2 linked regions of the Tribolium castaneum genome follow. The protein of the gene in region 1 purifies or fractionates together with the protein of each later gene. This does not show direct contact. Links are inferred from orthologs where the notes say so. Each region holds a gene or a part of one and is shown in the gene's direction. Other genes may lie near its edges.

Evidence for each region. Proteins that work in one complex are often made in the same cells at the same time.
Region 2: the proteins of 26S proteasome non-ATPase regulatory subunit 5 (region 1) and Rpt4 purify together in Homo sapiens (co-immunoprecipitation; 4 studies listed by BioGRID and IntAct, counting the BioPlex papers as one, with this or other methods). This does not show direct contact. The link is inferred for Tribolium castaneum from reciprocal best matches to the Homo sapiens genes PSMD5 and PSMC6.

Annotation. Positions count from the first base shown.
Region 1 is NC_087400.1:8,011,138-8,014,893, forward strand, and holds the start of 26S proteasome non-ATPase regulatory subunit 5, read left to right. Parts: upstream 1-1,290; 5' UTR 1,291-1,325; coding exon 1,326-1,507; intron 1,508-1,563; coding exon 1,564-1,951; intron 1,952-3,697; coding exon 3,698-3,756. UniProt on the Homo sapiens protein: Acts as a chaperone during the assembly of the 26S proteasome, specifically of the base subcomplex of the PA700/19S regulatory complex (RC).
Region 2 is NC_087394.1:9,241,475-9,245,230, reverse strand, and holds the start of Rpt4 (26S proteasome regulatory subunit 10B), read left to right. Parts: upstream 1-1,075; 5' UTR 1,076-1,205; coding exon 1,206-1,299; intron 1,300-1,346; coding exon 1,347-1,466; intron 1,467-1,514; coding exon 1,515-2,125; intron 2,126-2,180; coding exon 2,181-2,395; intron 2,396-3,756. UniProt on the Homo sapiens protein: Component of the 26S proteasome, a multiprotein complex involved in the ATP-dependent degradation of ubiquitinated proteins.

The DNA of each region.
Region 1 (3,756 bases):
AACAAAACGAGATACAAACTTGCCGGTTTTTCTGAATACAAAAAAATAGTACGGCTGAGTAAAAATGTGAGCGCTTAAAATTTTCATAAGAAACATAAAAAAATTCAATCTGCGTTCCACCTCATATTCCTGCAAACTCTGCAAATACGGGTGAAGATACAAATAAAGTGTGAAGAATAAAATTATAAAGAATTAAATTTTCTTCAAAAAAGTCCGGAGACCATATTCCTATCTTTAACGGTTTTGGTTTTAATAGTCTATCTGGTACTTGACTACCGGGAAAATAAAATAAATCCGTCGTTTGGGTGTATTTAAACGAGTTTGGGATAGAACATAAGGCTTTTTTGTAGGAAATTTAATTCTCTACAACTTTCTTTTTAACTGTTAAAAATATGGTGCATTTTTTAACATAGTTTTCGAAAAAAAATTGTATTATGTTTATGTTTTGTTTCATTCATTGTACTGAAAACTGCGCTCTCTGACGACATTAACGGAACTATCAAGGACGGGAACGTTTTATTTGTACGTCGTATCATATCCTAATCCTTAGATATCCGTAGTTATGACAATGTTAAAAAAGTTATTAATTTTTTCCTATTTATCATCAAGTAGAAAAACTTAATTTTGTGTTGTATTTTGTATTTTATTTCACAAACCAAAAATGCATTAAACTTCTTTTTAAAATAAATTAGTTATTACTTATTAATTTCACTATTATTAGAGCAGACCTTAAACGTAATGTGTATTGTTAGTTGCATTTTAAAAGTGTAAAATTTTGAAGATGTAATGTAATTGTAATACGACTCTAAAATTTAAAAATGTGAAAACAAACGTATAATAATATGCTTAAGCAAACACATTTTGCTGTCTCTAGGCGTCAGTTTTTCATTTACTCTGTATAGTGTATAGTTAGTGGCCTACCTTTTAATTCAAATATTCACTGTTGATCTTTTGTAAGTTTTGCAATTAAAGTAAGCAAATATTTATTTTTTTAACTACAAAAACCTCAAGGACACATTTAATTAACGGTTTTGCACCTTTTTAAACAATGGCTCATAGTAAGTTTTTTTATTTTATTATTAGATAAAACGTAATTTTGATAACTACACAGGTAATTACTAATTACTACTACTAAAATTTATACAAATAAGTGCCTGTATTATTAATTTGTAGTAATTTTAAGTCGATGAGTGCGTAAAAATTTTCCACATTACAAAATGGAATTTTTCCCTCGTATTCGAGGAACGACCAATCAAATACGAGAGTCGTAGTAAATTTCCACCTGACCAGTTGGTAGCACTTTTTCCAATTTTCAAATTGTCACGATGGCTTCGTACGAAGAGTGGTGTGAAGAAAAATTATCAAGACTTTCCGATGAAGATTCGCGAATTCCAGTATTAAAAGAAATGAAAGACTTCCTGACTACAATCCCGCGTGAGGAAATGTCCCGAACAGCCAACTCCCTGCAACTCCCTGCAGTTTTCGACTGTCTAAACGACTCAAACAGGTAACCTAACCTCAAAAGTGCTGCGTCAACAATAACAATAATATCAATTTTCGTAGTGAACAGGTCGATTTAGCTTGCGAAGTCCTCGCACTTTGTATGACGAATTTAAATTTAGGCGAAAGCACGAATAAATACGGCGTTTTTTTAGAAAGAGCTTTAAATCATCCATTTTCTGCGGTTAAGCTCATGGCTTTAAATGAGATTAAACGTAATATTGAAAACGAGGACATTCTTGTCGACCTGTGCAAAAGACAGTCGCTTTTAATCAATATTATTAAGTGCATGGGGGACGAGGATCTGGGGGTTGCTAAGGGGGCGGCAGGGGTTATCAAAATTTTGGGGCTGTCGAGCGTGGGGATCAAGCAGTTGACCAAGGCTGATATTTTGCAGTCGTTGCACGATATTATGGGACTGAGCGAAATTGTCAGGTTTAGAGTTTATGAGGTATGAGTAAAATCCATATCCAAAAGTAACGCACAAAAATCATATCTTTGTTATTAAAAAAAAACACCAATGAGTCGAATTTATTTTCGAAAGAGAATATGGACACTGGACAGCTTTAACCAGGAATTAATTTTTATGAAAGCTTCATTCCAACGTTTTTAGTACTTTTTTTTATCATTTTTAATAAAATTTATTAAATAAAATTAAAAATTTTACAGCCCTTAAGAAGTTATAGAATAAGCAATTTTGTTTGGATGTTTTTAATATCAGCTTGTTCCAATTAAACTTTGTTAGTGATAGTAAAACAATTATAAACATTAACAAAGAAATAATTCTAAATAGAAAAACTATTCAAAATATTTATTTTCATTATTTATTTTTAAAGATACACCAAAATTCTGTTTGTTTCTTTAGCTCACCTGGACAGGTTTAACCAGGAACTAATTTTTATGAAGGCTTTATTCCAACATTTTTAATAATTTTTTTTATCATTTTTCATAAAATTTATTAAATAAAATTGAAATTTTTACAACCGTTAAGAAGTTATAGAAGAAGCAATTTTGTTTGGATGTTTTTAATATCAGCTTGTTCCAATTAAACTTTGTTATTGATAGTCAAACAATTATAAACATTAACAAAGAAATAATTCTAAATAGAAAAACTATTCAAAATATTTATTTTTATTTATTTTTAAAGATTCACCAAAATTCTGTTTGTTTCTTTAGTTCACCTGACCAGGTAGACTTTAAACAATTTAAAATAAATTGCAGAAAAGAAGTGCAACATTGAAAAAGTTTATTACAGTAATGATGTAATCATACAGGGTGTCTCAAAGTTCCGAAAAAGCTCCATAACTTGTTTACTATTAAAGATATTGCCTTTTTCTTTTTTTAGATTATTGCTGTGTTTTTGTGTATGTTTTCAAAATATTGCAGTGTATATATGGGCTGTTCCAATATTAACAAAACACTAAAGTTATGTTTTTTCAAATGGAACACCCTAAATTTGATTGCATTTTTGTTTGTAGATTTTAATACTGATGATTGACAAAAACACTCTTTTTTCAAAAAATCATTACATAAAAGCTAAAAATCTCAGAAAAGAAGAACTTTCACCACATTAAAAAAGAAAGTTCAAACTTAAAGGATATGTTATTCTTATTAGCTTTATTATTTAAGAAGATAAAAAATGGAGACGTTTGTTGCAAGTTGAATGACTTCAAAATTTTAAATGGAACACCCAATTTTTTATTTTTGCATTTAAAAGACCATTAAATTGTCTCTCTAAAAACATTAACAGTTAAGTGTCTTTTGCTAATTACACAAAATATATTTAAAATTAAACATAAAAAAAATTATTAAAAAAATGTTTTGATAAATATTTGATCATTTAAAAGGTTTCAAATGTAGTAAAATTTGTTTAAACAAGCGTAAATACGAGGACAAATAGTATAAATAAAACAATTTCACTGAAATTCAAATATTAAAAAAATATCACCCCTTATTTATAAAATTAGACAAGAAGTGAAAATAAAAGCCCTGGTGTGAAATTTTCAATAACATTTTTTTATTTATTTTCTTTCTTTTTTTACTTTTTTACTGCATTGTTTTATACTTACCAATATATCTACTATTAAAAATAGCAAATGAAATCAAAATGTAGCGTTGTCAAAAATAAAGTCGATTTTTTGGAGGATTTTTTTGTGCGTTTCTTTTTGTTCAATCTGTTTTATTTCTTGTCTTGTAGTTGTTGATTGATATCAGCAACCAATCCGAAGAGAATTTCAACATTTTGAAGGGGGCTGG
Region 2 (3,756 bases), on another chromosome or scaffold:
GATTTTGTGTTGAGGGAAAGCTAAGATAAAAACACGTTATGAATAGAAAAAAATCAGTTTTCCTGACGAGTTGAACACAAGATTTCAAAAATTCGGTAAACATTTAATATTTACAATATTAATAAATTATTAATTTAATTTGGCTACCTCAAGCGTTTTACCCCGTTTTATAGAAACGCAATTATTTTGCAAAATTTCTTTAAAATGAACCAAAAACTCATTAAATTGCATAAAAAGTAGATTATTTTAATTTTTGTGATATTTTAACCCATTTTGATTCAAAAACGCAGTTGTTTAATGAATTTTCACAAATAACCAAGCGAAATTTTTTAAAATTGTCCAAAAATATTTCAACAAAACGGTCGAAAAATGTACTAAAAAACGCAATTATTTAGAATAAAATAAAATTAAGTAAAAATAAAAAAATCATAAAATTGAATAAAAAAATGTTATATTTTTTTATGCTTAAATTTTTGCAAAAAAAAACGTATTACTTCGCATTATTTGATAGTTTTTTATTTGAAGACACATTTTTTGCAAAATTTCGATAAAAACAAACTGAAAAATCGTATAATTGGTTTAAAAACATTGATGATTTTACGTTTAAGAGCGAAACGAAAATGCAATTTAATCAGATGATCGATTATTTCACAAAATTTCTTAAAAAAATATCAAGAATTTTATTGCAATGGGTTGAAAATGTATGCTTTTTTCGGTCGCCTAAAAACACGCACTCGGAGTAACAACTTTTTTTTATAAAGAAAAAACTGTTTTGGCCAAAAATGAAATTTTTCTTAACTCTTTAGTACGTTGGCGCGGTCCTGATTCTCGCTGCACACATTAATATTAGTTATTATTTTGACTAATTAGAATTAGAGCAATCCTCAAATGTAATGTGTATTGTTGGTTGCATCTTACTTAAATTTAATCACCTTGTATTTAAAATATATGATAATATTATTTTGTAACACGACCTCTTTCCCTACAGAACAGAATTAAAACAGATGTCTTGTGTTACAAAAAAGTTCTTTCAAAATTCCGTAAAACTGAAGCATTCACTAGGTTGGCGACTCTGGCCGATGTTTGAAAAAATTAAATTTCCCTACCTGCTGTCAAAACCAAAAGTGCGGTGTTGTGGTGTTCTGCCAGTCATTGTGCCTTTAGTGAAATAACTTTCGAAAATCCTGACTAAAAAGTGAGTCAAAATGACACAAACTGAGCCCGAACGCGAGAAAAGCCTCCAGGAATACCGGAAAAAACTTGTGGAACACAAAGAAGTCGAGTCTCGCTTGAAAGAGAGTAAGTCACTCTCCTCTAACTTATTTGTTTTACTAATTGTTAAACAGTGCGAGAACAGTTAAAAGACCTAACAAAACAATACGACAAGTCAGAGAATGACCTTAAGGCGCTGCAAAGCATGGGCCAAATTGTTGGCGAGGTTTTGAAACAGCTAACTGAGGAGAAATGTGAGTTTCTCTTTTGTGAAAACAGTAATCAACAAGAGTGCTTTTTAGTTATTGTTAAGGCAACGAATGGCCCCCGTTACGTGGTGGGCTGTCGCCGGCAACTTGATAAGACCAAGTTGAAAGCAGGGACTCGTGTTGCTCTCGACATGACCACGTTGACAATAATGCGTTATTTGCCCCGAGAAGTCGACCCCCTTGTTTACAACATGAGTCATGAGGACCCCGGCGATGTCACATACTCGGCAATTGGTGGTTTGTCCGAGCAAATTCGCGAGCTCCGTGAAGTCATAGAGTTGCCCCTCATGAACCCCGAACTGTTCATGAGGGTGGGCATAACCCCCCCGAAAGGTTGTCTCCTGTACGGCCCCCCAGGCACTGGCAAAACCCTCCTAGCCCGGGCTGTGGCCTCACAGCTGGACGCAAATTTCCTCAAAGTTGTCTCAAGTGCTATCGTTGATAAATACATTGGAGAGTCGGCTCGACTCATTCGAGAAATGTTTAATTATGCGAAAGATCATCAGCCTTGCATTATTTTCATGGATGAGATCGATGCTATTGGGGGTCGGAGGTTTTCCGAGGGGACGTCAGCTGATCGGGAAATTCAGCGGACTTTGATGGAGTTGTTGAATCAGATGGATGGGTTTGATTCTCTTGGTCAAGTCAGTTCGGTTTGAGAGAAATTTTGGGAGTTGTTCATTTGTGTATTGATTTCAGGTTAAAATGATTATGGCCACGAATAGGCCCGATACTTTGGATCCTGCTTTGTTGCGTCCAGGTCGTCTGGATCGTAAAATTGAAATCCCGCTTCCTAATGAACAAGCCCGACTTGAAATTTTGAAAATCCATGCTGGGCCTATAGCGAAACATGGGGAAATTGATTATGAAGCGATTGTTAAGCTGTCTGACACGTTCAATGGCGCTGACTTAAGGTAATTGAATTATAAATAAACAATTTTGAGTTAATTTCGTTGTGACGTTCCAACATTTTAAGAGAAGATAAAAAAATGAAATAAATAAATTACAATTTGGCGTATAAGTAACAAACACAGTAAAACAGAGATTTGTATTTTATTTTGTTAGAATACTGTTTTAAATTTGAGGTGTGTTTTGACAAGTTTTTACAAAATACAGGCTGTATCAGAAATACGTGTCTTAATTTTAACAGGTAACAGAACTCAACAAATAAAACATCTTTTCTATTTGTAATTTTTCAATATAAAAATCGCATATTTACATAAAATTTGGAAAAAGATCATAATGAAACTTGTGCCTATGGGTTCAAAAATAAAAGAGCTGAACTATTTTCGTTGTGATAGAAACAGACAATTTAAACAATTTAAAACAAGAATGGAAAGAATACAAACCAATTATTAAACAATGATCGGCTCGTTTGCAGAAGAGAAAGGAGGAAAACAATGAAAATTTTAAATAAGAATTTTGCAAAATGTTGTATAGAAAAGTTGCTGTATTTGATGAGTTTTAAATTACTATCAATTACGATCAAATTTGGCAATTTTTTAGCTAATTAGCGAAATTTTTCGCTAATTATTAATTATCTGAAAAAAGCAAAAATCAATTTATTTTGGCGAAATTTTATTGATTTTTTAGTTTGGTTCAAATAAATATGAAATATTTTCGTTTCTTACTCAAAAACGTGCTAAACACTCAAAAAAGCAAAACATTGAGTACTTTGTGTTTTAATTTGGTGATTTTTCTATTTGTTTTAGCAATATCTTTAAACTTAAAATTTTAATTCAAGAACTGATCGTTGTTTTGGATCAAATGTTGTAATTTTTCGGCTTAATTTGAAGAAATTCCGCTTAAAATCGAGCCAAATCGGGAGAAACTAACATCAGTTTCTAATTATTTTGCGAAATTTTGCGAAATAATTGTGTTTCTGGCTGAAAAACTGGCTCTTTTTTCGCGAAATGACGAAAAAAAATTAGATTATAGCTCTAAAACTTGCTCAAAGGTTAAAAAAAGGCAGAAATAACATGACTTGTGACCAAAATTTATTGTGGTCACAATATTTATGCAATAAATAATAAATCTTTTGTTCAAAAAACCTACTTTTTTTAAATTTTTCTTAAAAAAACTAAATTTTTAACTCAAAACGTGTTTAAAAATGCGAAAAATGCAAAATTCACACCGAAAATTGTGAAATTTTGGTTTGTTTTTAATAATATTGAGCGATAATTCCTTTTCTGGCTGTAAACCTTTTTAAAATAAAACATTTGGAAAAAAGTGATGTTTTACTCTGCTTCTCACAAGAAACTGACAACATAACTTT